Linked DNA regions of Canis lupus familiaris. The protein of the gene in region 5 purifies or fractionates together with the protein of the main gene of each other region. This does not show direct contact. Links are inferred from orthologs where the notes say so. Each region holds a gene or a part of one and is shown on either strand. Other genes may lie near its edges.

Region 1 (5,292 bases), about 13 Mb from region 5:
GTCCCCACAATCCTGCCAACCAGATAGGAGCAGGAGCTTTCTCAGCAAGACACCAGATCTTTTAGAAACAGAAAACTAGCAGCCATCCCCAGTCTTTGTGCTTTTGGGGAGCTGGGACTGGACACACGCGGCCTGGTTCTGTGTGCTAAGCAAAGAGGCTGGTGCCGGGAGAGAAGGCCATGCAGCTTCTTTCAGGGACCACCTGGTCCTTGGGGGTGAAGGAGCTCAGGCACCAGGCTGGCTCTGACCTGCCTTCCCCTGGAGCCGTGGCTACTGCGTCATTAATACCCTGTAGAATCAGGCACCCTTTGACTGCTGTCCCAGTCAGCACAGATGAACTGTGGCCAAGGAAGGAGAGGGCCCAGCACCTACACACAACCTGCGGGGTCCAGTGGACAAGGGGAGAGGCATATGGCCGGACAAGCAAGAATAAGGACTGAATGGCTCCCACTGGGAAGGGCTCATGCCTGTTCTACGTGCTCAGCACCCAGTGGGGCAAGGCCAGCCCAGCCCCGCAAGGACTTACGGCCTTCATTGTAGAGGTAGGCTATGCCCAGCTTCACGGCAGCTTCAAAATTTCCCTTTTCCGCAGCCCTAGACAGTTAAAAACACAGCGTCACCTGATGTTGTCTGACACAGCACTTGAAGCTAAAACACTTGTTTTTTAACTGAGGATTTTTTAAATGTAACACAGTCATATACCCCTCAACCGTGACACCTGAACCTTAATGATGTGCCAAGCCAAAGAAGTCAGCCACAAAAGGTCACACACATGTGGTATGATTCCACTTACATGAAATGTCCACAAGAGGTAAATCCACACACAGGAGGGCAGATTTAGGGGTTGCCAGGGGCTGGGAAAATTGCAGGGAAAATAGGGAGTGGACACCGAGGTCGACCTCTACTAGTTCTGGCTTCACTGTGGGGTAGTGAGGATGTTCTAAAGTTAGTGGTGATGGTTGCACAACTCTGAATCTATGAAAAACCAGTGAGTTGCACACTTTAAGAGGATGAATGGTATATAGTACGTCGCTTATGTCTCAGGCAGCCTGTCTGGAACCACTGGCACACTGGGGCCCACAGGCCTAGGGGCTCACTCCTACTCCATCTCTCCCCCTGGGTCCCAACCCCGGCAGGAATTGGGATCAGCCACGGACTAAAATGCAAGAGGAGTTAAATCATATACTTTTGACCAAAAAAAAGAGGGAGGGCTGAGTAAAATTTCCACATGCAGGTGACTTGCATTTGAGTCACGCAGATTAGTCCCAGCCCAAGTGAGACCCTTCAGAAGCATGACAGTGACTAATGAGTCAGGCTGTGCTGGTGGCATGCATGGCAGTGACTGTGCTGCATGTGACTCTACAGGTGACGCTGCCAGCCCTCAGTCACTCCCTGGGGGGTGAGGAAAAGTGTTCCCAGGTCAAGTGCTGGGACGCAGGCTGGCACACTGGGGAACTGTGTGCCCTCAGGTGCACAGATACCTTTCAAAGAGCTTCAGGTTCCTTGGGGAAGGCCACAGTTCCTGGAAGCTGGCACATGCCCACACGCTGGCGTGGTTGTCCACCAGATACTTGAGGTGAGAGTGTACCTGTGGAACAAGGGAAGTGGGGTGGGGGCAGAGATTATCAAGGGACCCCCCAGAAGCCCCGCTCCTGGAGATCTTGACCATGGGACAGACAGATGACAACTCCCCACCCCAGTGGGAAAGAACCCGTGTATCAAAGTAATAGCTGTTTTGAATACACGGAAGGAGCAAATTTCTCTGTGGCTCTCAAGGCAAGGCCAATGGTCCTGGAAGGGAGAATGAGCATCTATGCGGAGAAAGGGGTGGTGACACTCGTCAGGGCATATACCTCCTAGGATTAGGGAAATGGATCTAACAGGAGCAAGTGTAACAGAAATTTGTTTTGTGCTCCTATCCCTGGGGCCTTGCTAGTGGGAACACAGCTGGAGCCTGGAGAACAGCAGAGAATTCAGGAAAAGACCAAAAAAATTAACACCACATTGGGCAGAGGCAGGAAGTGCCCCAGCTGGGAGCCCTGAGCACAGGTGAGCATTTCATGTGCTGAAGTTCCCATCGCCATTAAAAACTCAGCATCTGGGGATCCCTGGGTGGCGCAGCGGTTTGGCGCCTGCCTTTGGCCCAGGGCGCGATCCTGGAGACCCGGGATCGAACCCCACGTCGGGCTCCCGGCGCATGGAGCCTGCTTCTCCCTCTGCCTATGTCTCTGCCTCTCTCTCTCTCTGTGACTATCATAGATAAATAAAAATTAAAAAAAAAAAAACAAACTCAGCATCTGTGGATATTATGACCACGGTGGAAGCAGGTTTGGGAGGTTCCCATTGGGTGTTTTTCCACTGATTTGCTGTGCATGCCCTTGAGTAAGTCAGCAGGAGGCGAGTTTCTGCAAACTAACCTCCCAGGGTCCCTTTCAAGGCTCAACATCACAGGTGATTGTCCTCCAGAATATGTTTTTGTTCTTTCTTAATACTATGTTATTTCTTAAGAGGTGAACATTTCACTGCCACTGTAGGCTACTTTCTCTGTGAGAACAAACATTGCAACAAAGCGATTCAAAACATATTGCACTGTTTCAGCTTAGCTATTTTCCTGCAGATTGCAACAACCTCAGATGTCTATTACCATCCTCGTCCTTATAGCCTCTGCCCTCTTCTGTAGCCAAGATTTTGTTCTGACATCTAAGAACACGGAGCCCAGAGCCCTGAGCCCTGATGGTGTAAACCACCTGTGAGGTCAACAAGCTAGGGCTGGCGCTATTTTTCTCCTCCGGCAACTTACAGCTCGGACAGCGAGGATGTCCCCAACAGAAAGCCATTTCAGGATGTGAAAGAGCACATCTTCAGGGAGACTCAGGATGGTCAGGTTCCGGGGTCTCCTCCTTATTCTTCGCTTTGTAGGGTAACAGAAGCACTTGGCGCACCGACAGTGGATCACTGAGGAAGAAGAGCAGAGCAGAGCGGTCCAGGGGCGTGTTGGGAAGGAGCCAGGCTGAGGTGCAAAGTTGTCTCTGAAGACCCCCGAACGGTCCCCGTACCCTACCCCCAACGAACCCGCCTCATTTCCAGGTCCGAACAAAGGTTAGAGAGAGGAGGAGGGCTTCGCCAATTCCGGCAGGCACCGTCGTTCATTCAAACTCCTCAAGGGCTTAGGGGAAGCAGCAAGTACTCAGGGAGCCCGGCCACTGGGGACGGCGGTTCCGCTCGGGCCCGGGCCTCCGCGCTGGTCGGGCGCCGGGACCGCCCCGAGGGAGCCCCTCGCCCCGCTCGCCCCCTGCTCCCGCCCGCCCGCCCGCGGGACCTGCAGGCCTTCCTGCCCCGACCGGCTGTGCCCCGGGGTCGCCCACGGCAATTAACGGGCCGCGCGGGGCACCTGGAGGTCCCGCCGCGCTGTCCTCGTCCCCCGCGCCGGGCGGCCCCCCGAGCCCGTCCACACCCGCGGCGCCGGGCATTTAAACCACGCGCCGGGCGGGCGCCCCCGGACCGCCCCCACGCCGGGCCCAGGGGCCCGAGCCGCCCCGCTTGGCGCCCGCCGGCCCGCGCCCGCGCCCCGCGCTCACCGCCACCGCTCCCCATCGCCGCCGCCGCCGCCGCCCGCGCCCCCGGCCGCCGTCAGCCCCGCGCGCCCCGCGCAGGCGCAAACCCGCCCCGCCGCCCGCCCGAGTTTTCAAATGCGCCGGGCCCTCCCATTGGCCGGCCGCGGGGGGAGCGCGCCCCAGAGCCGCCGGGTCCCGGCCGCCGCCCCGCCCACCCGCTGCTCCGGGCGCTCGCCATTGGCCACGCCGGGACGCGAATTCGAACGCCGGCGGCTGATTGGTGGGGCCCGCGCGGCCGCCCCGCCTCCCCGGCCAGGGCGGTAGTGGGGCGGGGCGCCCGGGGAGCGTGCGGGGCCGGGCCGGCGGGGGCGTGTGCGCGCGTGGGCCCGGCGATTCCGCCGCGCGCCCCGGAGCCTGGCGCTCACCCCGAGGCCGCGCGCGCAGCCGACCGTGGACCGGGGCGCGGGACCCTCAGGGACGCGAACCTGGCTCGCCGTGCCTCCGCAGGACGTGCCCGCCGGCCCCCCGGCTGCCGCCAGCCACACGGAGCACGGCGTCCCTTGGGCCGGCACGACCCCACGGGGGAAGCGCCGGGCAGAGGAGGCCGCGGCGCTTTTCCCGGAGACGCTCTGCTCACTCCCCCCCTGCGCGCCCCGGGTCTGCCCCCCTCCCCTCCCCTCCCCTCCGCGTCCCCGTCCCCGTCCCGGTCCCCGCTGGGCGGCCGCGCACCTAAGTGCGAGGCGCTAGTCTGCAGCGGGGGACACAGAAGCAAACGGTCACACACGGTGTCGGAGGGTCCCCATGTCCCAGAGCCCGGGGGCCAGGCCCGGCAGTCGGGGTTGAGGAGGGAGGGGCAAGGCGGTGCGCACAGGAAGCCCGGGCGGCCCCTGGTGCACCCGGGAGCCCGCGGAGAACCCACGGTGGACCCTCCAGGTGTCTCGTCCTTCCTGGCGCCTTTGGTTACTGTGTCGGCCTTGTTACTGTGTCGTCCTCCTCCCCTGCACCCTTGTGACTTTGTTGCTGGTCTCCCTCTGGGCAGGGGCTCACCCTTCCAGCCTAGACTATGGTAGGCCTTCAAAGGGTCATAAACCCTGGTCCCCACACCCACTCGCCCCCCGGGAGCCCAGAGCGGCCTCCCTCAGTTGTCCTCTCTCTTGTCATTTATGTCCCCATCATTTTATTTATTCAGAGGTCAAGTTTTCTTATTTTTCCAGAAAACCAGTGCTGTTTCCTTGACCATGCTGTGCGCTCTCACCTGCATACGTTGCCCTGGCAGGAAGAGCCCTGGGGGCCCCGTGGGGTGACTAGCCACTGCCAGAGGCTGAGAAGAGTACATTTACCACGGGGCACCCATGCAGCGGGATGGGAGAACTCATTGGGAAGGTCTTGATTGTTGAGGGTCAGGGATGTTCCTGGCTGGAAGAAGGTGGCCATTGAGGATATGGGGTGGGGGGGCGGGGGGCGGCGAATGAGAAAGTTTCAAGGACAGCAGGGACAGAGGCTGGGGGATAGTGAAGCCTCTGAGAGCCAGAGCAATCCCACCATTCAGAGGAGAGGAGAACCAGATGCTCTGCAGAGGATGGAGAAACCTCGGGTGGAACACGAGGTGGAACAGTGCTGTCAAGTTGGGTGAGTGGTGATGGGAGGTAGAAGTTTGGTCAAAGACAGTAGATACCACTCCTCCAGAGCTTGGCTGAGAAGAGGGGGAGAGACCTAGCTGCAGAGGAAGAGCCGAGAG
Region 2 (4,606 bases), on a different chromosome or scaffold from region 5:
TTAGACCATGAGCCGAGCCAAAGGCAGATGCTTAAACAACTGAGGCACCCCAAGATAAAATTTTTTTAATAATAAATTGTATTGTCATTCTCTTGCTTAAAACCAGTTAAGTGGTAATTTTCCAAAAAGAAATTACTTTCTAGGATCAATAGATAAATATACTACTATGAAAACAAATACACAAAGAAGAGAAATTCAGAATCATTTACCTGTGTGTTCACTACTTCCTGAGATAATGTCTGATTGAGTGGTGGGTACATCTCAAGTTTTATATTTAAAATACCAACAGAAACTTTTGATTCTGTGCCTATAAATATAAACAAATATTTAGAACTTCAGAGGTTTCCAGACTATGTATATTTAGTCAACCAAAGTCTAACCAAAATAATCTAAGAATTTTGGCTTTACCACTTACGTGAAATACAGATAATATTCAACATCTTTAATATTCATATTAAAAACAATTCAAATCAGTTTTTATTTTGCATAAAGACCTTGATCTAGTTGTAAGATTATCTATTTTTTGAGCTTGCTTATTACATTTTAAAGGGCTATTTGGATCTAAAGGATTTGGTATTCTTAATTTTTATCTTCATTAAACGTATACCAACCAGATTTACATTAAAAACAAAGTAAAGCAACTGTTAACATCTGGTTCTCAGGAAATATTTATACTTTGTCACATATAATAATTCCTTCCCATTTTTCGCATCACATCCATACCTGGATTTAAACAATTTGAAAACAAATACACTTTTTACAAGAACTATCTACTATTCCTCTGGTGAATCAGAATATACTTGTTTCTTGGTCACTACTATGATAATCATGTTAGGCCTATATTTGAAGACAAATAATGTGTATCTTTTGGAAATACATATATCCCACAAAAAACTTGTGCCCTTACTTTCTATTTAAGGAAAACCACATTCTGGGTATGACTTATCAAAATCTAAAGTACTAAAGCTATACCGTCCACCAACCAGGTTTGACTCTGTGACTTAGTTTCAATACCAAAGTAATTCCCTTATATGTTATGCATAAAATACTGGTAGGTTTTATTCTATTAGAAAATACATATCACACATCAGATAGTTCCCAAGAGTCCAAGGAAACAATGGTGAATAAAATAGGCACCATCTCTCTCCTCAAGGAGTATTATTCATAGATCCTGTCAATGAACAAGTCAGCACCTCTTTGAGTCCCATATTCCCACATGTAAAATGTTGGAAAAGTATCACCTCCATATTCTGTAAGAACCACTGCTGCAGGAAGGCACTGATACTAATGGGGGATGCACTGTACACTGGAGTGTGCTGGAGTAGAGTTTTTACATATGCATCTGTGTGAAGAATCCTACTGTTCTTTATAGCCTTATATGCAATCAAATAAATTTGAAGAAAAAAAATAAGCCCCTGAAAAAAAAATTTTTCCTTACAAGATCAGTTTGACTGTATAGTTCTATACCCTTTTTTTTTTAAGACTTTATTTATTTATTCGTGAGAGACACACACACACAGATTGAGAGAGAGAGAGGAGGCAGAGACACAGACAGAGGGAGAAGCAGGCTCCATGCAGGGAGCCCGACACGGGACTCGATCCCAGGTCTCCAGGATCAGGCCCTAGGCCGAAGGCAGTGCTAAACCACTTAGCCACCCAGGCTGCCCTAGTTCTTTACTAACATGCTTCACGGCATTTCCCAAGACCCCAATACTAGAGTCCAAATGTAATTTTGATGAAATTCTTTTTTTAAGTATTTTATTAAGTATTTATCTATTTGAGAGAGAGGACGCACACAAGCACAAGAGGAAAGGGGGGAGGGGAAGAGAGAGAGAGAGAGAGAGAGAATCTGTTTTTTTTTTTTTTTTCTATTTTTTTTGAGAGAAAGAAATCTTAAGCAGACTCCTCCACACTGAGCCCAGAGCCTGATGCAGAGCTTGGATCTCATGACCCTAAGACCATGACCCTAAGATCACGAACTGAGCCAAAATCAAGAGTGGAAATCTAGAGTCGGATACTTAAGTGACTGCACCATGCAGGCACTCCCTAATGAAAGTTTTTTTACATGTTTCCTGTTTGGTTTACAAAGGCATTCAGAAAACATAAAATGCATTTATAAACAAGCTATGGCTATAAAAAGGTAACAGTGATGAATCATCATACCTACACCCATAAGCTCCACAGTAAGACTGGTCACTCCATTTTCTGAGCCCAAAACTGATCGCCATTCGAGAAAATAGGATGCTACTAAAGTAGTCTCACCAAATATGTCTGTTTTGATTAGCACCATATGAACTGGATCACTTATTGATAACATTGTTGTTGAATCAGCCATTCTAGTTCCATCACCTGGCAACATAAACCAAATGCATCACATTACATATTCCATTAGACCAACATAGAAGAATACGTTTATTGCAAAGGATACTAATATACTTACATAAAACCAAATAAAATAATTTGGTAATGCCTCAGAAACCATGCAACAGATTACTTAATTTAAAAAGTACAATCCTGGGGCGCCTGGGGAGCTCTGTCAGCTAAGCGTCTGCCTTTGGCTCAGGTCATGATCTAAGGGTCCTGAGATGGATCCCCAGGTCACACCCCCTGCTCAGCAGGGAGTCTGCTTCTCCCTCTCCCCAACACTCTCTGCTTGTGCTCACTTGTGCTCTCTCAAATAAAATCTTTAAAAAAAAAAAATAAACAGCCTTATTAGGGTAACCTTTTTCACCAAGGGCAAAAAAATCTTTTCATACTGTATTAGCCATCTTAGCAATCTAAATTTCTAAAGGTGTAATTTTTTAGCTTTGCTAAGCAAACACATTATTAAGATTTCTATATTGAAATAACATAAAATACAGTTACAGAAATAATATAAGAATTATAGGAATCAGGTATATAATTTTAAAAAACTAGTTACAGACTCCCATCTTACCTTTATTTCTCAAAGTTACATAACATGATAAACCTAGCTATCCTTCATAAATGAGAAGAATTATGTCTTGTTCTTCACTAGATCCTCAGCACTTGCCTAGTACAGTATAACGCATCTAGCAGGCATTCATTGATTGGTTGATTGACTGATTTTGGGGAGGGGGGCGGAGAGGGAGAGGGAGAAAGAAATCTCAAGTAGACTCTGTGCTGAGCGCAGAGCCCGATGCAGGGCTCAAACCCACAACACTAAGATCATGCATGACCTGAGCCAAAATAAGGAGTCAGATACTTAACCGACTACAGCACCCAGGCAACCCCCTAACAGATATTTAAATGTTTACTACTTAAGAAGCAACCATTAAAACAGTAAAAATAAAAAATCTTAAGGAAAAATTATTTAGCAGAAAATAAAGCAAAAAGGTAGAAGTAATTTATGTAAAAAAGAGCAGTGGAGAAAATAAAAGCAAAGTAGGAAGATTCAATCATCATAAAACTCTCCTTCTAGCAAAAGTTATGTTACCATAAAACCTAACAAATATTTACTCAATTAAATGACAAGTTATTATTGCTCCTTACCTAAGCTTTCTCTGTGTACTTCAAGTAAAAAGCCATCATGAAAATCTGGTTCACAGGCACATGGAACAGGTTTAGAACGAAAACGTTGGTTTCGAAAATGTAAACATAGAGTAAAGGTTGAACAAACTTGTCCAGGTAAAGGCTCAGGTTCTTGTAGATGTTCCAAGAAAGCTTTTCCACCCAAAACCTGAAGGTAAAGATACCTCCGTGTTGGATCAATATTAGCTGTAAAGTGTAGCAATATATATGAGGAAACTGCCAAACAACTTAAGGAATGTGATCAAGACAATAGGAAATAATAACTTGACAGAAATAAAACCAAAGACTAAATTAAAAAAGTAACAAATTTACTGTATACCAGGACCATTTGAAACCAAGAAAGAAAACATACACAATAAGATATATTTTTATCGGAGTTTTTATATTCTGGGTACTTTCTCCCAGCTAGAAAAGAGTCAGAGCCAAGGCTTAAGAAACCTTTGCTCTTCAGGTGCTTATCTAATAACACGCCTTCACCGCCAAAGCCAAACCAAACAAATATAAACTCAGCAAGTGTACTTTTTAGGCAATTACCGTTAAAAAAGCAAAGCTGTACAATGTTTATAAAACATATTATTAAAACATGAGAAACAGGTAATTCTGTTTTTGCTTCCACTCTGTGATATACTAAAGCTTCTGACATACACAACTTGGTGCAAAACAGAATCTAAGTTTTTTGGATGATTAATTACAAAAATGGTAAGAATCTCATTCGAGAAGGAAAAAAATGGTTTTCATCAAATACCAAACACTACAGCACATCAATATGTAGTACGGTGCAAAACGAAATCAATGTTAAAAGAAATATACATACTTTTTTTTAACAACGTTGATTGTCTATCAGTAAAACAAACAGGTTGTTTTGGAGAGGAAGGTAGTTCTTGATCAACACTGTCCTAGAAAGGTGGGAAAAAAGATGAAAACAAATTAGAAAACAAAAATTATAGCTAAGCAAAGAAACATCAACAATGGGTGGGACTAAGAACTAAACAGAAGTATACAGGATAAAGCCCCCTCAAGGAAACTCTTATTTTCCCAGCATAATTAAAATAATGAA
Region 3 (4,606 bases), on a different chromosome or scaffold from region 5:
CCTCAGTACCCCTTGATTTTTTTTTTAAGATTTTATTTTTTTATTTTGTATTTTTTAAAGATTTATTTATTTATTTATTTATTTATTTATTATTTATTTATGATAAAGAGAGGTGGGGAGCAGAGACACAGGAGGAGGGAGAAGCAGGCTCCATGCCGGGAGCCCAAAGTGGGACTCCAGGATCGTGCCCTGGCCCAAAGGCAGGCACTAAACCGCTGAGCTACCCAGGGATCCCCTAAGATTTTATTTTTAAGTAATCTCCACCCAACCTGGGGCTTGAATTCACAACACTGAGATCAAGAATCACATGCTGTATTGTCTGAGCCACCCAGGTGCCCCAATTTTGATTTTTTAAAAGGAAATGAGCAATATGTTGGAGATTGCTCAAGTTTTAATAACTTAAATCTCAAAAAATGCTAGTTACACCAAGCATGTGTTCTTGGACAAATCTTTAAACTTTCTTGAGCTTAAAATATGGACATGAAAAGAGAGAGCTGGACCAGAAGATCACCTAGGACCCTTGTAGCACGAATAGTCTTTGTTTTTTAAGTGATGAAAAGTCTAATAAAATAGATTCCTTTATTTTTATATGCACCATTTTGGTTATGTCAAAATAGATCATAATCTTTTTATTTGTAATTCATCCTGTTTTTACTTTCAAGACCCTGCTTTTACATGGAAACATCATCACCTCTCTTAGAATGGCACCTGCTTATCTACCCAGGAGTCTTGCTATACTTTCCTTGGCAGAAAATGAAATCCGGGACTTAAATGAGGTAAAATTTGAGGGTATTCTGTGGGATCCAGGAAACTGCAAAGTATGGAAGAGACTCAGGAGAGAGTTGTGACCTCATTTATAAACCGTGTATATCTTGGAAGACATTACCAAAAAGATGAAACACTTGACTCAAAATGATCGTTATTTTTCTTTCTACTTTTTCTTAATGTTAGTGGGTCATTAAGGCTTAATTTCATTTGTAATGCTGCAACTATCATTCCATCCAGAACTGATTTGTGGTAGAGGTGTAACTACATTAAAGGGGTCAATAAGTGATACTGTGCACTTTTGCTGCTATTATGTCTTCAAAATAGGATTTTCTCTGTTAGAAAACACTGCTGATACTCTGTAAGGGATTTTGTGCAGCAGGGACAAATAGTCATACTGATGGAATTTTGAAAGTCAGTGGATAATATCAGAGTGTTACTTGTTGCTTTTCAGAACAAGAGGGAAATTGTTACATTCTCAAACTACCAAAGATATGTACTCAAAGGAAGCCCTGTGCTTGATACTAAATAGTCCATTTCATTCAACAAAGATATCCTTTGTTCCAGATCTCTTTTTTGGCATCCTTAACTGAATTGGAACAGTTGTCGATCATGAACAATCCTTGTGTGATGGCAACACCATCCATTCCAGGGTTTGACTATCGGCCATACATCGTCAGCTGGTGCTTAAACCTCAGAGTCCTAGATGGATATGTGATTTCTCAGAAGGAAAGGTGAACATGACGTCTTTAACATCACATTTATCATGGTTGTTTTGAAAAGACTGCTTACTACAGATTAATAAACTGAATATTTTTTTAATGTGTATTTATAAATTAAGATTATTAATGCAATCATATAGGAAACTATATACTGGTCATTTAGGATTTTCTATCCTTTCCAAGAAAAAATAAGATCAATATCAGCCCGAGAGGTAGGGTTTAGTGAGTTTAACTTAATGCCCAACATATAAGAATTTGATTTCTGAAAGTTCTTTTGTTAAGTAGTTTGCGGGGCTTAGAGTATTTTCTGTTGAAATTATATGGATGCTGTATAGAGTCTCAGATAATTAATGTACTCACTTTTTGATGGTTCAGAAAGATTATTTTTTTCCTGGTTACTAGGGAGTTTCAGCCAACTTCCAGCAGAGTAGCTAAAATTAAAAGGACAGACAATATTAAGTGTTGATGGGTATGTGGAGTATGAGTATGTGGAACTCTCGTACTCTGTTCTCAGAGTGTAAATGGTGCAACTACTTTGAAAAAATGGCATATTTAGTGAAGCTAAATATGCAAATACCGTATGACCTAGCAATCTGGCTTCTGGTATATACCCTACAGAAATAGGTGCTTATGTGTCCCAAGAGACATACACAAGCATGTTCTTAGTAGCTTTACTCATAATAGCTGCAAACATTTCAGAGCTATTTGGTACATTTGGAAACAACCCAAATGTCAGTCCAAAGGGAGAGAGTGAGTGAGTGTGGGTGGGAGGAAGTGCAGAGGGAGAGAGAATCTTAAGCAGGCTCCATACCCATTGTGGAGCCAAGGGCAAGGCTTGCTTGATCCTATAACCCTGAGATCATGACCTGAGCGGAAATCAAGAGTTGGACGCTTATTGACTGAGTCACCCAGGCGCCCTGATCTTTATTTAATACATGGACTCGTTCATGGAGGAAATACTTCAAATTATTTTTATTAGGTAGAATAAAATTTTTATCCTTAGACTAAGTTTGAGAGTTCATGATATCAGTTAATCAGCTAGGCATGCTTCATATCTCATTGTGGAAAAGTTTTTCCTTTCTTGTGATATTGGCAAATCACGTAAAACTAATCTCATTTTATTTTATTTACACCATGACTCTTGCATGATTTTACCAGTTATTAATGGTCCAGTTTTTTTTTAGTCCATAATAGAACTTGGGTGGCTTGACAGTTTTGAACTGTAGAGTTCGTATGATGTCGATAACTTAATATCAAAGTCCAAGTAAAGGGCTGTGGGTTGAAAGTAATTTTCAAACTATTTATAATGCTGAGTTAATGCTATAAAAATAGAAAAAGAATACCAAAATGATCCAACCTCAACTTCAAGTTGAGCCTCTCCCTCTGCCTATGTCTCTCCTGAATAAATAAAATTAAAAAAAAAATGGAAATATATATGCAAAAGTAAACAGTAATGTAATGACTTCCCATGAATCCATTATCCAATTTCTACAGTTTGCTATATTATGTTCTTCTATATTATGTTCAAGCAAATCTCAAACTACATGTAATTTCAACTGTGGATATTTCAGCATATATCTCTAAAAGATAAGGGCTCTTAATGAAATAATTACAATACTAGGGACGCCTGGGTGGCTCAGCAGTTGAGTGTCTGCCTTTGGCTCAGAGCATGATCCCGGAGGCCCAGGATCGAGTCCCACATGGGGCTCCCTGCATGGAGCCTGCTTTTCTCTGCCTATGTCTTTGCCCCTCCCTCTCTCTCTCTCTCTGTCTATCCTTCTGTCTGTCTGTCTATCTATCTATCTCTAATGAATAAATAAATATATTTTAAAAATAAATAAATAAAAATGATGAGTTGATGGTTCACTAGCATCCTCCAGCTGTGACCAATTAGCATTTCTTTTAACTGTCATGAACTTTGGATTTAAATGTAATTGATGTATTTAAGTACTTTAGTTTGATAGTGAAGAGAGAAAATACTCATTGATTCTTTGAAAATAATTTAAAAATATTTAGAACAATGAATGCAATTCTGTGGAAGTGCCCCCTAAGCAAGAAAAAGGTTTAAAACATTATAAAGGGTAAAAGGAGTGAATCAGAAGGAAAGATTTTTTTTTAAAACTTAACTGAATTTTATTTATAAGTCATCCAGTGATGCTGTAAATTAAGAAGGAAGATCATTGTTGCTTCAAAATATATCTTGTCTATGCTGATGTCATCTCCTCTACTGTATGTTCTCCAAATCCAGCTTGAAAGCTGAATGGCTCTATAGTCAAGGCAAGGGGAGAGCATATCGGCCAGGCCAGCATATCCAGCTTGTCCAGTATCTGGCTACAGTCTGTCCTCTCACTTCCACGCTGGGTCTTCAAACTGCAGAGGATGCCAAACTAGAGAAGATTCTGAGCAAACAGAGGTAAGCCTCTTTATTTATAGCAGCTGAGGAAATCATAAGTGAAAATAATTCTGAGTCTTTCCTGCATGGGTTAAGTAGGACTGAATGAAGTGCTATGACCCCCATTTCTGGGCACTGGGACCCCTTGTCACTGCAGCAGTCCTATTGGGGAACTAAACCATGCAGTGCCGTCAAGCTTGCTCTGCAGCAGCTGCAATGTTAATTTCCTGAGTAGTGAGAGTCAAGCAGTATAGGAGGAGCCTGAGATTTTCTTTTTCTTTTTTTTTTTTTTATATTTTATTTATTAGCATGAGTAGGGGTAGGGGCAGAGGAAGAAAATGAGAGAGAGAGAGAATCTGGAGCAAACTCTGTGCTGAGCACATGGAGTCCAATTCAGGGCTTGATCTCATGACCCTGAGATCATGACCTGAGCCAAAATCAAGGGTCAGTCACTCAAGGAACTGAGCCACTCAGGTGCCCTGACACTGGGATTTTTAAAAAATATATATTTGCCCTTTAATGTAGGTGTTTCATATGAGTTTTTTATTTTACTTTCATTTTTATTTTTTTAAATGAAATTAGCCAACATATAGTACATCATTAGTTTCACATGTAGTGTTCAATAATTCATCAGTTGTGTACAACACCCAGTGCTCATCACATCACACGCCTTTCTGAATAGTTGTCACCTATTTACCCCTCTATCTCCCTCCCCTGCAGCAACTCT
Region 4 (5,339 bases), on a different chromosome or scaffold from region 5:
ACAGAATCAATCTGATTTCATAATTCATTTAGTAAGTATTTATTGAGAATGACTGATATTTTTCTAGAATATAGATATATTATAGGGAACAAAAATAACTCATCCCACTTCACAGTTAGTAAATAAAAGAATCAGGATTTGAACTCAAACTGTCTGACTCCAGATCCCCTAATCTCCAGCTCATTCTCCACTGAGTACTTGAAATATTCCACAAGTATTTCAAGCTTAATTTTCCTTAAAATTTGATCACACATCTTCCACTCTTATTTTTAGTAAATGGGCCTTCACTCCAACCTCTCAACTTCTAGGTACTAAACCTATAAACATAAAAGCTTCTGCACACATCCATTCTTCCCATTACAAAGGAAGGTCGGGATCCCAGAGTGGCTCAGCGGTTTAGTGCCTGCCTTTGGCCTGGGGGCGTGTTCCTGGAGTCCTGGGATGAGTCCCACTTCCGGCTCCCCACAGGGCACCTGCTTCTCCCTCTGCCTGTGTCTCTGCCTCTCTGTGTCTCCCATGAATAAATAAATAAAATCTTAAAAAAAAAAAAAAAGGGAAGAAGGTCTTTCCCCCTTTTAAAGGCTAATCCATTTGTATCACACTCCTTCCCACATTGTCAGGAATTTCAAAATCTTTGGTTAACAATACATTCATATTTGGCTCCTAATTTTCTCAAAAACTACTTCTACCAAATCCTTCCACCAGTATTCCTCAAATTCCCATGTTCCTCCACTTCAGTTCAGTTGCTAGTAGTCTTCTGTACACCTCTCTAGATTGTAAGCTTTGGGGGGGTGACTGAATATTTTTATTTTGTTCACTATTGGATGTTCAATCCTAAGAACTTAAGGTACATGGTAAACGTGTAAAATGTATGTCGAACAAACAACTAATTATGAACACAATGTCATTCTTGTGGTTTCTTCCAGCCAATGATAAAAAATCGAAAACAGTAATTCAAAATAAACAACAGTTACCCCCTAGGTAATAGAAAAGAACTTACCTCCAGTTCATTTTCCAGTTTCATTACTTTAGTTTTTAATTGATTTTCTATTTAAAAAAAAAGTTTCAATTGGTCAGATTCATCTCAAAACAAACTTTTAAATAAATTTCAACAAAGTAATAAAATTATTTCTAAAGACTCCATCATGATTATAATAAGTAACATAAGAAAAAATGACTTTTATACCTCATCCAGGAAATATGAATGCTAGAAATTTCTTACAAAATAAACTGAGCATGTATATTTTATAGAGTATATTAAACAGAAGCCCCCCTACTTAACATTGTGATAAACTTTTCCAGGACATTTACCAAATTTTGCTTGTTCTTCTCCAGCCTTTTCAACTTCCTCCAAAGCTAGCTCAACCTCTTGAGCTTTCATCTAAACATTAAAAAAGAAAGGTTATTTCAATATGCCTTTACATACACACTGAAAATGAAAATGAGAACTTTGTTTCATTTGCTTTCCCAATATTTATTTGTCATTCAGTGCCTGGGATATGGAGACTTTCAGTAAATATTTGTTGAATGAATAGATGATTTTCTTAAGGACATAATTCCTAGATTCCTAACAGCTTGAAGTATATTGATTCCTCTTTTCTCCCTCAAGTCTTATATCCAGTACTGTAACTTTGCCCTTTGTAATGCTTTCTACTATGTTTCTCTATTCCATTTGTCATTATTCTAGCCCATAATCTTATATCTAACCTTCTTCACCATGTTATCTCTAAATAGCTTCAATTCCCTTCACTTAGTCCTATTAATATACCTAGTTGAAGCCTTCCTAAGGCATACTTTTGCACTTATCAATTAGGCTCAAAAACCTCTCATGGCTCCTCATTGCTAATAGCAACATAAAATACACCTGTAATACCCTTGACGGCCTACTGCTAACTATAACCAACATTAGTTTCCTCTACAACCTACTATAAACTTTCTGCACCTGTCTCAACTGTAAAAAATAAGCACATTTTCTAGTCCCAGATTTTACTTGTGATGTCCAGCTGTAGAAGCTTTTTAACATTTGCCACTGCTTTCTACTTACCTAAAATTGCTCATCACTCTTTGCCCTTTATGAGGCCTTCTCTCACCTAAATCTCTTCCTCTCCTAACAAACCCCTTACAAGTCATTCACATTTTTCATTCTGACTTCAGGATTATGTTAACATAATCACAAATGAGTTGCTATATTATTTTTAAACATACCCATTCTGTTTCCCTTATGCATTCTTTTAGGAACTTTGGAGCAGAATCGAGCAATGCTTTGCACACTAAAATTCTCAGTCCATATTTGAAAGAGATCTCTTTTTGAGTGATTTTGATATTACAAATACCTTCATAACAATTAACTTATTTAAGAGCTCCTTAAATGTCCTCTAATAGTCAAATATTGTTAAAACCTACTGCATACAAACCTTCATTAGTGATTGAGTAATTCTGAAAAGGTGTATCACATTTTCTTGACTTTCAGTTTTTAGCTCACTTATTTCCACCTAAGTAAAGAGAAAAGCATCTATTTTATGTTTTATAACCCTTAGTCAAAATGTAAAAACTCTTCTATTTGTAACATTCATTGATCTCAGGGACAACTTGGATTAATCACAGTTGTACATAGATAGATGCACTGTTTATAAATTAAGCACCTTGGATAAGGAAACCAGTAAATTATCTGCCAATTCTTCTTGACGAGGCAGGTCATCTGGATCAACTTTTATTATTTCTTTCCAGTTTATATTAGGTGGCATCTTGAAATCTTTCACTGCGCTTTACCTTCTGGAACAAGACAGGTAGGTGGGTGTTAGCATTTTCAAGATAAACAGCATTACTATTTTTATAGATTGTATCATTTTAACTCTCTATGGTGTTAGCAAAGAGGTATGGCTCCCTAATTGCATAAGAGATAAGTGGGCATAATAGCATTGATCAAAACTATGACAGCTGGCACAAATCAACAGATCCTGCACCGCCTGTAAACTAGGAGTGATTTCTTCTAAAACTAACCTAGGGCAGAACTAAGATTCTGAATCCCCTCCTCCACGCCCCCTTACCACCAAGGCGCGCGAACATCTAGTGGTGCCAAAACGAGGGGGGTGCTTGGAAGGCTGAGAATGAATCCTGATTCGGAGAAGCAAGAACAGGAGCGGTTTAAAAATAATAATAATAAAAACAGTGCAGAAATAAACGACTGAAATGAGCGCAGCTAGGCCAGGGAAAGCAGGGCTGCAGCTAGAAGAAGGCAGATGGGTTGCAGACCAGGCTAAGCAGTGGGGAAGCTAGGCTGTTACGTACGGGCCCTGAGGCTTAAAGAACCTGCTTGGGAAGAAACTGGCTGCTCCTGCTCATCAAGATCCACTCCAAGATCCACCCACCGAACCGAGCCTGGCGATCAGCAGCGGCCCCCGATCCGCCCCCCGGGTCGAGCCTGGCCCCGCCGCCACGCCCGACCGCTCCCCGGCGCCGTTCCACCGGGACTCTGGATCCCGCCAACTGGTGCAGTGCAAGCCAGAGCGGCGGCGGCTGCTAGGCGACACCATTCCCCACCCCGCGAAGGACGGCGCAAGGCCCCGGATGCGAGGGGAGCCTACATTTCACGACCTTGAGTGATGCTTTGCGTTTAGATCCTCCCGCGGGGCCCCTTGGACTCTGTGTGAAAGACGGGGAGAAGGCGAGGGCAAAAGGACTCCAAATCCCAGAACGCAGTTCTGCTCGGAAGCTCGTGCATGCTGGGAACTGAAGTCTAGGGAGGTAGGCTGTTCCCGGCGTGCAATGCGGGAGGCTGCGACCGCGCGGGGGTAGCGGGGGAACGACCCAGAGGCGGGAGGCGCGGTGGCTGAGGCGCGTCTGCGCCGGTGACCTGAATGAGGTAGACCATGACTGTGCCTTCGGTGGCGTCACCAGCCGGGCCGCTTTTCCCGGGATTTCCCTAAGCCGTCTCCTGGTTGGACGCGCTTCCAGGTGAGGTCGGGCCGCTCGGGTCAGCGGCGGGGGAGGCGTGGAGGGGAGCGGTCCCGGCTTAAGGAAGCGCGCGCGGTCGGGGCGGAAGGACTCGGTCCAGGTCTGAAGGGCTGAGGGGGGCAGACCCCTTCTCCTGAGGCGTTTGCGGACGTCCCCCGGGCGGTGCCCTCTGCAGGAAGAAAAAAGAAAGTTTGAGTTTTCTTTGCTTTCAGGATCTACTCTGTGCGGTGGAGTCGGGGCCGCGCGGCCGGGGTCATGGTTTCGTGGGGAGTGAAGAACTGAGGACACGGTCTCCTCTGCCCGCCTCACCTGTCGCACCGTAGCCTTTGCTGGGGGCGGAGGTGGGGAGTGGGTGTCGAGGGGTGAAGCGCTCCAGGGAGGAGTGTTGAGGTCTCGTGTAGCCTGATCCCGACGCTGGGGTGCAGGGAGGAGCGGCCGCAGCCCTCACCTGCCTCAGCCTGTCACTTGCTTGACCAGCGACGATGCCCACAGGTGAAAGCGCTCCTCAGGTGTTCACAGTTCCTTTGGGCAGGTGTTGCTCATCCCACTGCGCTTAGCTCTTCTGGCTACTCCAGAACTCTATTAGGCTGTAGACTTGAAATCTTTTTTTTTTTTTAAGATTTTTTTTAATTTATTCATGAGAGACACAGAGAGAGAGGCAGAGACAGAAGCAGGCTCCATGCAGGGAGCCCGATGTGGGACTCGATCCCGCGACGGTGAGATCACACCCTGAGCCAAAGACAGGTGCTCAACCGCTGAGCCACCTAGGCGTCCCTGTAGACTTGAAATCTAAATGACATTCTCAATTGTTTGGGACCAGTGCCTCATGTTTATATATATATATTTTTTTTTAGGAATTTTTTCTTAACTATAACTTTTTTTTTTTTTAAAGATTTTATGTATTTATTCATGAGAGACACAGAGAGAGAGAGGCAGAGGGAGAAGCAGGCTCCTCACGGGGAGCCCGACGTGGGACTCGGTCCGAGGACCCCGGGATCGCGGCCTGAGCCAAAGGCACGCGATAAGCGCTGAGCGGCCCGGGCGTCCCCCCCCCCCCCCCCTTTTTTTTTTTTTAAGATTTTTTTTTATTTATTTATTCATGATAGTCACAGAGAGAGAGAGAGGCAGAGACACAGGCAGAGGGAGAAGCAGGCTCCATGCACCGGGAGCCGGGCGTCCCTCTTAACCGTAATTGATAACAAATTTCCTTCCAAAAATACATAGATTCATTTTCAAACCACGTGTTTGGGTGGAAATAGCCAAGGAGAAAATAAAAACAGATATGATTTCCGCAGATATGTTTCAAAGACATTCATCAGATTTGTAGGAATGATAATCTTGTTGTATCCTTTACTGAGATTATATGCCACGTACTGTTTTTTTTT
Region 5 (4,606 bases):
AGACTGATGAGAATATTAGAAACCACATTCCAAAAGGAAGACATCATAGCAATACACTACATTAAAACTATGATATTTCATATAAGAACTCTTTCCTCCAGTCATTAACAATATTCTCTGATACAAAGTGAACTGTGATTCATATTTTAAATGAGAAAGCTTTAAGAAAGGCTTTCAAATGGCAATAAACTATAGCTAATTATAGGTCCTCTGATAAGAGAAATGAAATGAAAAACCCTGATGATCAGATGAGACCATTATTATTGTTTTTCAAAATGTGAATTAAAAGTATTCAATAAAGGTGGGTGAAAAAATGATGCCTAGAGGCCCATGGTGGCTTAGTCAGTTAAGCAACTCAGGTCGTCATCACAGGGTCCTGGGATTGAACCCCACATCTAGCTCACTGCTCAGCCTGGAGTCTGTTTCTCCCTCTGCTCCTCTCCTCACTCATGCTCCAGCTCTCTCTCTCAAATTAAAAAAAAAAAGTATTCAATAAATGTGCCATCTGCTTGGCAGGTATCAAACACTTCAAAGTTTCCTTACCTTTGGAACTACTTTCTAACATTTTATTCTTGTTGATGTAGACAGATCCCTTAGGGTATCTTTTTTCTGGCAAATATTGCCTTTCCTGTTCAGCTACTCCAGTTGTTAAGACATAAGGGCAGTTTTCTTTTTGCAAACTATCAATATCTAAATCAAGTCTCCGTTTAACTTTCTCAAAACTGTTATCCAAAAATGGTTCATTTCCACAGGACACTGTAGGGGTGTCCATCTGCTGTCTGGTATTCTGGTTTTGCATGAGTAAAGGAGATGGGTTTTTTACATCATAAGACTTATTCAGTTCCATTTGTAAATTACAGGTGTTTTTCTCTAACACATTGGCTGACTTGAGTCCACTCATAGTTCCAAAGTTTTGAGTCACTATACACTGACTGGTGGCATATGGCTCAGGCAACCTTGGCATTGCAGTACATGTACTGTCCATTTTGAGTGGTCCTCTCCCATCAGATGTTAACTGACCTTCCACGATAGCAAGTCCATGGATAACCTTCTTTTCTAACTGACTTCCTGAAGACTGGCATACCTGATTTGATTTACCTAAAACCACTTCCTGTATGGCTTCAGATGTATTTTTGGTGACACAGACCTTGCTTGAACAAACTCCAGCTAAATCAGCTGGTAACTTTGGCACACTTTCAGGTATATTTGTTTCTTCATCAGTAGCTTGAACAACTAAGTCTACCGTCTGTTCTTTTCCTTTAGGACTTAATTCACAGGCATTTACTGGGTTATTTATAAGTATATGACATGCTGATGATGGCCTAGAATGCCTTCGATGCATTTTAGGACTCAGGCTTGGCTCTGGACTAGGTAATTTGGCATACGAACCAGTAAGACTTTTGATAACATGATTTTCGGGAACAAAAGTGGGAATGACTTTAAAATCAGAATCGAGGTCTAAAACAGTGCAATGGCCAGTTCGTACAGGTATGTCCACTTTAGAAAAGCTACCTAAAACGGACATATTCACACCGCTTGCTTGAGTAGAAGCACCTTGGAGGAGAACATTTGATTTATTAAGGCTTGGTTTGTCAGGAACCAGAGAAGCACAGTGTCTGCCAGCCAGCTGCACCTTCTCCCTCCCAGAGTCAGTCCCTTTAACAGCCTCGTTTTCTTTATCTGAATGACTCTCATAAACACTTCTTTTCACACTACTTCTCAGACTACGTCTCGATTGTTCTCTTTCTATATATTCCTTTGACTTTTTCATCAAGTTCTGAAGACTCATTATGTAGGGATCCGGAGTAACTTCTTCCGAAAGTGATGGGTCCTGTTCTTCATTGGTTGGGAAGAGACCATTGGGTGTGAGAGTCTCCTGAGGGGTTGTGGAGGGGGTCTTTACAGAAGTTTCATTTTCCACAGAGCTAATAATATCTGAACTATCACAGTGCTTCAAAGAATTAAATTCTGAGTCCCTAGTTAAGTCTACCCCATTAGATTTAAATTGGTCCTCATTATTCAATGGCAAAATTCCAGTTATCTTTTCAAACTTTCCTAAAGTAGAGTGCTCAGTAGGGCTTGGCAAGATATTTGGAAATGTAGCAGGGACATTCAAGTTTCTGACTTCTGAATCAGAGTAAACTGTTTCAGTCTCCCACGGATCAAAATCACTGGCTTTAGGTGCTTTTCTAACCTGGAAAAGGAAATTTTAAAATTAGTATTTTCTTACTGCAGAGAAAAGCCTTTGATTTCATTGTTTTCTAAAATAAAATTGAAATAGAAAATTCAAATATTCTAACATTTGAGAACACAAAAACTAAGATAATCCTTCTCTATTGTATCCTATATCACAGAGCTCAAATTACTATTAAAAATGGCTACTGATAAAATTTTTAAATAAAATAATTTAAAAAAATACAAACATCCCAGCCTATTTATTAAAAGAGTATAAGCAAGAAAGGAAATGATCTAATCTGATGCAAATTTGTACATATGGGGACGCCTGAGTGGCTCAGCAGTTTGGCACCTGCCTTTGGCTCAGGGCGTGATCCTGGAGACCCGGGATCGAGTCCCACATCGGGCTTCTTACATGGAGCCTGCTTCTCTCTCTGCCTATGTCTCTGCTTCTCTCTGTGTATCTCTCATGAATAAATAAAACCTTTAAAAAAAATCTGTCCGTATGTGCATGGGTATACACACACATATATATTCACATATCCATGCACAATTTAATCTTGGAATCTAAGGGTTTTCTTTAACTTTCTTCTGTATTATATGTTATTAATGTCACCACTGTTCTCCTATGAAAGCTATCAACTAAGGATACTGATATATGATATAAATAGCACATAATTAAATTTCTCAAATGACTCTTTCTTTAACAAAGACTAACTTACCCAGGATATAAAAATAATTCAGTAATCAGACTCTTGCCTCCCATATGCTTACTCCAGATTTTAACTAAAATCCTTCTATGAGGGATCCCTGGGTGGCGCAGCGGTTTGGCGCCTGCCTTTGGCCCAGGGCGCGATCCTGGAGACCCGGGATCGAATCCCACGTCGGGCTCCCGGTGCATGGAGCCTGCTTCTCCCTCTGCCTGTGTCTCTGCCTCTCTCTCTCTCTCTCTCTCTCTCTCTCTGTGTGACTATCATAAATAAATTAAAAAAAAATATTAAAAAAAAAAAAAAATCCTTCTATGATAAGGCAAATTTATAGTAAATGATAGCTCAGCCATGTAGCTTAAGTTACTAAGAAATAAGAAAATTTTCAACTTAAAATCCAACTCATCAAGGCAAATTTCAATTTGATTAACTGATGATCATTTTAAACAGCAACCTGTTAGAGTTTTAGAACAAGAAAATAAGTAAAAATTTATAAATTGAGAACTGAAATCCAACAGAAAAAATAAAATTACATCTTCTATCTAAATAATTTGACCTTGCAAAAGAATAAAGTGAACTAGGATGGTTTTTAAAGATTACACAGGATATATTAAACTGACGGGATATAAAAATAAATAAATAAATAACACTGACGGAAATTATCATATTATCATATCAATACAGACTCCAGAATCCTGAATATTAAAAAAGATTTTTAGGTTGTTATGTATGTGTTATTTTTCCCTAGACCATATGGCACTCCTGTTTTACCTTACAAATCCCAAGACATATAATGGTTTCTAGGTACTATGCAATAAACAGCACAACAAAGTATACTTAGTCACAACCTCAAGACCAAAATAAAACAAAAGGGAAACATATTCACCATGTCCATGAATATGTTTACAGGCTTACATAAAATAAATTGTTTCCTTAAAATATCTCAAAGTTCACATTTGTATATACAGCAGCTATGTTTTTGGTATAGTACTAAAAGGAGTTTTTGTTTAGAGAATTTAAGAATAAAAATATATCACAGAATGATAGGTTTTACAGAGACTGAAGAAATCTGTTTGTTTGATTTAAAATTTCTCTATATCTGCATATAATTAATTCATTACTCTCTAGTTTAACACTGTACATGCTCTATTAAATGTTGGAAGTTTTAAGACTCAACAATCTCATTACTAGTACATTTGATATATTCCTTCACTGGACCAATAATTATATGCCATTTTGTTTCAATAATAGGAAACATCTAGTAAATCCAAAGTCTACCCTTATTGTGCTGCACTGTATTTTTTAAACTTAATATAGTCATTACAATCTGCAAATTAAAATCTACTACCCACAGAAAAATGAAGGTAGCAATTAGTGGGAAACAGCCTAAGGTTTGTTGTACGTGTATCATCTAGTATGAATTATATAAACTATAAAACAAACCCTAAGGAAAAAAAAAAAAGTTAAGATGTAGCCAGCAAAACAGAGCTACATAGAGCAGAAATCATTTGTTCAACATAATTCGTTTTTTCTTTAGTATGAAATGATCCACACCCTAAAACAAACTGTTTATAGAAATTTATTCTTGGGATCCCTGGGTGGCGCAGCGGTTTAGCGCCTGCCTTTGGCCCAGGGCGCGATCCTGGAGACCCAGGATCGAATCCCACATCGGGCTCCCGGTGCATGGAGCCTGCTTCTCCCTCTGCCTGTGTCTCTGCCTCTCT
Region 6 (5,374 bases), on a different chromosome or scaffold from region 5:
CTCAGCCGCTCTCCTTCCTAGTTCTTAGGACACCACCCTCTCCCCTAGCTCCGCCCCCTCCAGTGTCGGGAACCCCGCCCTCCGGGCTCCGCGCCGCTGCCCCCTGAGCGGGGCTCCTTACTTGTCCGCATGGAGGCACTTCTGCATCAAGATGGAGCTGCTGTTTTTTAGGATGCTCCGGGGTCGGCCCTCACCAGGTTTGTGGGAGTGCGAGCAAGTTGACCCGGAGCGCGGCGGACTGCATCCCGAGTTGTACACCCCAGAGCCCCCAGACCCGAGGCCGCAGGTCCCGGATACACTGGTTCCAAGGAAGGGGGCATTGAATCCGTCAGGGTTTGGGCAGGACCCGGCGCTCAGGCCCGCAACCTCCCCAGGGTGCTGGCTGGGCCCGGAACCGGGGACTGCTACCCTCGCCGAGGGCCGGCTAACTCTAGGACTGCGAGTTACGATCCCTCCAGAGTGCAGGGGGGGCTCAGAACCGTGAAACAAGGCAGCACCGGAGGGCGGCCCGGCATCTGCCTCGACTCCTCCGACGCCTCCTAGCGCTCCCCTGCTCGCCCCTCCCGGAGACTCCCCACCGAGGCCGCCAGCGGCCCCCACAGCCTCCGGCTTCTCCATGGCCCCTCCCGGGGGCCCCTCTCAGCTGCCCCGCCCCCACATAACCCCGCCCCGAGGCCCCGCCCCCACCGCGCCGGGCGGGGGACGCTCTGGCAGAGGCCCGGGTCCACTTCCGCTCCGCTCTCCGGGGCCGCGATCCGGGGTTCCAGACTCTAAGTAGGGCCCTCGGGCTGGGGGGTTGCCCTCTGGTTGCCTCTCTCTGTCCCACCCAAAGGCCTTCTTTGTCTCTGGGATTTGTTCCCGCCCTTCTTCCCCATCACCGCCTTCATCCGAATTATCCAATCACAATCGGGGGTCCCGGTTACGGGCGAAAAGCCTTGATTGTGACGTCACAGCCTTTCAGCCTCAGCGCGAGCTCGCAGAGTTGGGCTGGGGGCTTGTTCCTAGCTCGGGGGTCTTTTTGGGGGGGCGGGGGTCAATTCCTCAGCGCCGTTGCTGGAAACCACCTGCCAAGGTTTCACTGGACTGTTTATCCGTGGCTTTAAGATTTAAGGGTCTGGCTGGATGGGAGTTCACGGTGGGCTTATCTGGAAGTACTGCCAACCCCTTTAGCCTCCGCCGGCCCCCTCCCCAAAGTTGGCCTGCTGTGCCCCTCACGAGAGGTGTGATACAAAGCGACGAGGTTGCGACAGTGTCGCAAAGACGTAGCCGCGCGGCGCCGAGGTGTTCATTTATAAAGCGCCCGGCTCCCTTCCCCAGGTCCTAAGGCCGCTGCTCACCCACTGCGAAGGCTGTGGCGCGAGGGGAACACACCCCCTCCGCCCGCCGTAAAGCGGCTTCCTAGAGGGGCCGCGTACCTCGGCGAGGGCGGGGTCGTCGGCGCCGCTGTTGCCAAGCTGAAGGTGGGGCGGACCCCCTGCGTCGTAAAGGGGCCTGCGGCTGTCGTTTCCTCTTCTGTCGCAAAAGCTCCCTGTCCTAGCCCACACGCCTTTGAGAGCCTCGCCGTCACCCCGCCGTGCCGTAAAGCAAGCCTGCCCGACCCCGTCGTCCTCCGTTCCCACCGTGGTGGGTTACTAGTTCCCTAGCCCGGGATGCTTCCTCGCCCGGCAGTGCCGTAAAGCATACCCGGCCCCAGCGCGGAATCCCGTTCCCTCTGGGTGTCTGTGCGTCGCGGTTGCCACGGTGCCGCCAAGCGCGGCTGTCGCGCGGCCCCGGTGTCAGCGGCGATGGCGGCGGGGTCGGGTGGGAGCGGGGGCTCCGGGGGTGGCCCCGGGCCGGGGCCTGGCGGGGGTGGGGGCCCCGGCGGGAGCGGCGCAGGGCCGGGGTCCGGCGGGGAGTTGCACCCCCGCACCGGGCGCCTGGTGAGCCTGTCGGCCTGCGGGCGTACCGCGCGGCGGCAGCAGCCGGGCCAGGAGTTTAACCACGGGCTGGTGTTGAGCCGGGAGCCCTTGCGCGATGGACGCGTCTTCACCGTCCGCATCGACCGCAAGGTGCGGAGCGGGGCCCGCGGGAGGGAGGCGGGAGGGGGCGAGCGGGAGACGCGGGGCGGGACGGCCGGGCTGGCCTCCGCCGCCGGCTGCCGAGAGCGAACCGACACACCGTCGCGGCACCAGGCGGCGGGCGGGGAAGGGGAGAGGGACGGCGAGAGCTTTAGATTGCTCGAGACCCCGGAGCAGGGAACGGACACGGGACGCTGCCACCCCAGGGGTGGTTAGGGTCCAGATCTCCCGGGATGGTTTCTGGGGAGGTGAAAAGATGGAGGGATGTCGGGGATGTGGTAGGAGCGCAGGAGAGAAGCCGGGGAAGGACCGGCCGTTGGAGGATCAGCTGGGGCGAAGAGGTGGGTGAGGAGAGACCCTCAGGGGGGCCGAGGGGAGGTGTGCCTGCTTGTGTGCCCCTCGGAGAAGAGGCCAGGTGCACACAGATGGAACTTGGGAAGAGAGGGAATCTGAGTGGAGCAGGAGCCCTGGAGAAAATGAGGTCGGGGGTGGGGGGAATTGGGAGGGGGGAGGAGGGTGGTAGACAGGAGCTAGGAGGATGGGCATGGAGAGCCGGGAACTTGGATGCTGGAAGCCAGGGGGGCTGCAGCCAGGGCATGGTGGTGTTGGGGACAGATCCCAGAGTGGGGGCAGAGTTGCTGGGGTACAGCGGGCCCAGCAGTCCCTGAGACAGTCCAGATGATTGCTCACAGGACCACCTCTCTAGAGTCGTGTCTTGGGTCTCAATAGAGAAAAGCCAGTTAGCTGTTAGGGGTGTGGAGAGAGGGGGACACGTGGTTTGTGAAATGTGGTTTCCTAGTGGTTGGGGACCCACGGTAGCCCATCCTGAGCCTCTGTCCACCACCCTTATCACAGGTCAACTCCTGGAGTGGCTCCATTGAGATTGGGGTGACGGCCCTAGACCCCAGTGTTCTGGACTTCCCAAGCAGCGCCACAGGGCTGAAGGGGGGCTCATGGGTAGTGTCAGGCTGCTCGGTGTTGAGGGATGGACGCTCTGTGCTGGAGGAGTATGGTCAGGACCTGGACCAGCTTGGTGAAGGGGACCGTGTGGGCGTGGAGCGCACAGTTGCTGGGGAGCTGCGGCTCTGGGTGAATGGGCGGGACTGTGGTGTTGCCGCCACGGGCCTCCCCGCCCGGGTCTGGGCCGTGGTGGACCTTTACGGCAAGTGCACCCAGATCACCGTGCTGCCCCCCGAGCCAGGTTTCAGCCCCCCTGCTCCCATCCCCACACCTCCCCTCGAGCCCTCTGCACCCCCTGAAGATTCCACCTTGACTGAACAGGCGACCTCTGGGGATGAAGGTGAGAACCCAGCCAGGGCCGAGGGGAAGAGGCGGGGCAGGGGGAGTGGCAGAAGGCATGGGTGACTAGTGACCATGGAGTCTGGGTTCGGGTAGGGCCACTCAGACCCCAGTCTGCTGAAGGGGAAGCAGGGGCTACAGGAGGGGTGTCCTGGTTGTGGGCCCCGCAGCAGGGGCTGGACCCTCATTCCCCTCCCACCCCGCCTGGTCCCCAGCCTTCATGGTGTCCCCAGCGCAGCCCCGGCCGGAGACGTTTCCTAACAGCCTTGAGTCGCATAATGGTGAGGGCACCCTGGAGGCTTTGGGAAGGGGAATGGGAAGTGAGGCGGAAGGTGAGGGGAGGGGGCCCTCAGGAGAGGATTAGGGGGAGAGTGGAGGGCCTGAACGTGTAGAGCCTCATTCCGGCTTCCCTCCCCTGTCCTGCCGCCTAGACTTTGCCAGCATGGAGCTCTCTGAGGTGGTGGGCAACGCCATCCTTTCTGCCTACAACGGGGGGCTCCTAAATGTGAACCTGAGCTCCCCACCGGCAGGGGAAGGACTGGGGTCTGGCGGGGCTGCCACCTCGCCCATCCTCACCTCCAACGACGCCCTGCTCTTTCACGAGAAGTGTGGGACTCTCATCAAACTCAGCAACAACAATAAGACAGCTGAGCGCCGCCGGCCCCTGGACGAATTCAACAACGGGGTTGTCATGACCAACCGCCCTCTCCGGGACAATGAGATGTTTGAGGTGTGTGAGGTCCTGGGCCCTGGCTGGTACCTCACCCTCTGGGAACCAAAAATGGGGCTCGATCCCTGACATTGGAAGGGTGGGGCCGAGGGTCCTCTCTCCACATTGACATGCCCTCCTCTCCCTCCTGCTGTCGCTCCCCCCAAGATCCGCATTGACAAGCTCGTAGACAAGTGGTCGGGCTCCATTGAGATTGGTGTCACCACCCACAACCCCAACAACCTGGAGTACCCTGCCACCATGACCAATTTACAGTCAGGTACCAGCCCTGGCGGGGCGGGGACACCTTCCCATGGTGAAGGAAGGCCTGGCCTGATGCCGGGCGTCTGCCTTCCCACAGGCACCATCATGATGAGCGGCTGTGGGATCCTGACCAATGGCAAGGGCACCCGCCGGGAGTACTGTGAATTCAGCCTGGATGAGCTGCAGGTAAGGGGTGGGCGTGCAGTCTGGGCCGCGCTCTGGGGCAGCCTTGTTACCCAGCACCCCTGCCCGGGCACCCCAGTCTCCGCTGTGACCTGGAACAAGGCTTCTGATCTTTCTCCGAGAGGTTCCTTCTGAGAAGGCACGGTTGCCTGGTAGTTAGGCACTCAGATTTCAGAGCCAGAGGTTTTCTTTTTTTCTGAGGGGTCGTGTGGGGTCATGACTACAGTCAAGAAGCTTGCTCACTATGTTTGGTATGGGTTTCTTTTTTTCTTTTCTTCTCCACGCCTGAGATGAGCTCATGAATTGCTTGGAGAGGTGGCTAAGGTGCTGTGTATGAGGTGGCTTCACCCTGTGCCAGACTTGCTGTGAGGGAGGGTTCAGGGGCTCAAGACTCAGGTGCCTTTGGGGCTGTTCCCCTGCGGCCTGGGCCAGAGCCTGATTGGAGGCGGATTCCAGATCTTTGTTTTTCTGCTCTGACTAGGAGGGCGACCACATTGGTCTCACAAGGAAGTCCAACTCAGCCCTGCACTTCTTTATCAATGGCATTGATCAGGGTAAGGAGATACCTGAGGCAGGCCATTGGGCTAGGGCTTTCGGTGTTGGGCAGGGGTCTGTACCTCACCGTCCTGTGTCTCCCTGATGCTGGTCTCCCCATATTCCTTCCCTCTCTGCCTTCTCCCCGGCAGGCGTGGCTACCCCACTGACACCCCCAGTGGTGTACGGCGTGGTGGACTTGTACGGGATGGCTGTGAAGGTGACCATCGTCCACAATAACAACCACAGCGACCGGCTGCGTCGAAACAATGCCATCCTGCGGGCACTGTCCCCCGAGGGCGCCCTGCGTCGCGCCACTCCTGCCACC

Evidence for each region.
Region 1: the proteins of CCP110 (region 5) and CCNF purify together in Homo sapiens (affinity purification with western blotting; 7 studies listed by BioGRID and IntAct, with this or other methods). This does not show direct contact. The link is inferred for Canis lupus familiaris from reciprocal best matches to the Homo sapiens genes CCP110 and CCNF.
Region 2: the proteins of CCP110 (region 5) and CEP76 purify together in Homo sapiens (co-immunoprecipitation; 4 studies listed by BioGRID and IntAct, with this or other methods). This does not show direct contact. The link is inferred for Canis lupus familiaris from reciprocal best matches to the Homo sapiens genes CCP110 and CEP76.
Region 3: the proteins of CCP110 (region 5) and CEP97 purify together in Homo sapiens (co-immunoprecipitation; 10 studies listed by BioGRID and IntAct, with this or other methods). This does not show direct contact. The link is inferred for Canis lupus familiaris from reciprocal best matches to the Homo sapiens genes CCP110 and CEP97.
Region 4: the proteins of CCP110 (region 5) and CEP290 purify together in Homo sapiens (co-immunoprecipitation; 6 studies listed by BioGRID and IntAct, with this or other methods). This does not show direct contact. The link is inferred for Canis lupus familiaris from reciprocal best matches to the Homo sapiens genes CCP110 and CEP290.
Region 6: the proteins of CCP110 (region 5) and NEURL4 purify together in Homo sapiens (affinity purification with western blotting; 4 studies listed by BioGRID and IntAct, with this or other methods). This does not show direct contact. The link is inferred for Canis lupus familiaris from reciprocal best matches to the Homo sapiens genes CCP110 and NEURL4.

What each region holds. Positions count from the first base shown.
Region 1 is NC_049227.1:39,031,900-39,037,191, forward strand, and holds the start of CCNF (cyclin-F), read right to left. Parts: upstream 3,638-5,292; 5' UTR 3,595-3,637; coding exon 3,579-3,594; intron 2,956-3,578; coding exon 2,801-2,955; intron 1,589-2,800; coding exon 1,482-1,588; intron 595-1,481; coding exon 527-594; intron 1-526. UniProt on the Homo sapiens protein: Substrate recognition component of a SCF (SKP1-CUL1-F-box protein) E3 ubiquitin-protein ligase complex which mediates the ubiquitination and subsequent proteasomal degradation of target proteins.
Region 2 is NC_049228.1:78,176,914-78,181,519, forward strand, and holds part of CEP76 (centrosomal protein of 76 kDa), read right to left. Parts: intron 4,446-4,606; coding exon 4,364-4,445; intron 3,736-4,363; coding exon 3,511-3,735; intron 2,350-3,510; coding exon 2,164-2,349; intron 308-2,163; coding exon 210-307; intron 1-209. UniProt on the Homo sapiens protein: Centrosomal protein involved in regulation of centriole duplication. Required to limit centriole duplication to once per cell cycle by preventing centriole reduplication.
Region 3 is NC_049254.1:8,459,885-8,464,490, forward strand, and holds part of CEP97 (centrosomal protein of 97 kDa), read left to right. Parts: intron 1-662; coding exon 663-776; intron 777-1,332; coding exon 1,333-1,499; intron 1,500-3,539; exon of another isoform or gene 3,540-3,735; coding exon 3,736-3,900; intron 3,901-4,606. UniProt on the Homo sapiens protein: Acts as a key negative regulator of ciliogenesis in collaboration with CCP110 by capping the mother centriole thereby preventing cilia formation. Required for recruitment of CCP110 to the centrosome.
Region 4 is NC_049236.1:29,576,354-29,581,692, forward strand, and holds the start of CEP290 (centrosomal protein of 290 kDa), read right to left. Parts: upstream 3,541-5,339; 5' UTR 3,310-3,540; intron 2,787-3,309; exon of another isoform or gene 2,773-2,786; 5' UTR 2,745-2,772; coding exon 2,643-2,744; intron 2,493-2,642; coding exon 2,415-2,492; intron 1,382-2,414; coding exon 1,312-1,381; intron 1,048-1,311; coding exon 1,001-1,047; intron 1-1,000. UniProt on the Homo sapiens protein: Involved in early and late steps in cilia formation. Its association with CCP110 is required for inhibition of primary cilia formation by CCP110.
Region 5 is NC_049227.1:25,964,131-25,968,736, forward strand, and holds part of CCP110 (centriolar coiled-coil protein of 110 kDa), read right to left. Parts: intron 2,195-4,606; coding exon 544-2,194; intron 1-543.
Region 6 is NC_049226.1:32,489,954-32,495,327, reverse strand, and holds the start of NEURL4 (neuralized-like protein 4), read left to right. Parts: upstream 1-1,784; coding exon 1,785-2,048; intron 2,049-2,170; exon of another isoform or gene 2,171-2,290; coding exon of another isoform or gene 2,291-2,398; intron 2,399-2,912; coding exon 2,913-3,357; intron 3,358-3,571; coding exon 3,572-3,637; intron 3,638-3,787; coding exon 3,788-4,086; intron 4,087-4,233; coding exon 4,234-4,345; intron 4,346-4,426; coding exon 4,427-4,515; intron 4,516-4,993; coding exon 4,994-5,066; intron 5,067-5,198; coding exon 5,199-5,374. Other genes in the region: uncharacterized protein LOC106558815, read right to left, coding at 122-618. UniProt on the Homo sapiens protein: Promotes CCP110 ubiquitination and proteasome-dependent degradation. By counteracting accumulation of CP110, maintains normal centriolar homeostasis and preventing formation of ectopic microtubular organizing centers.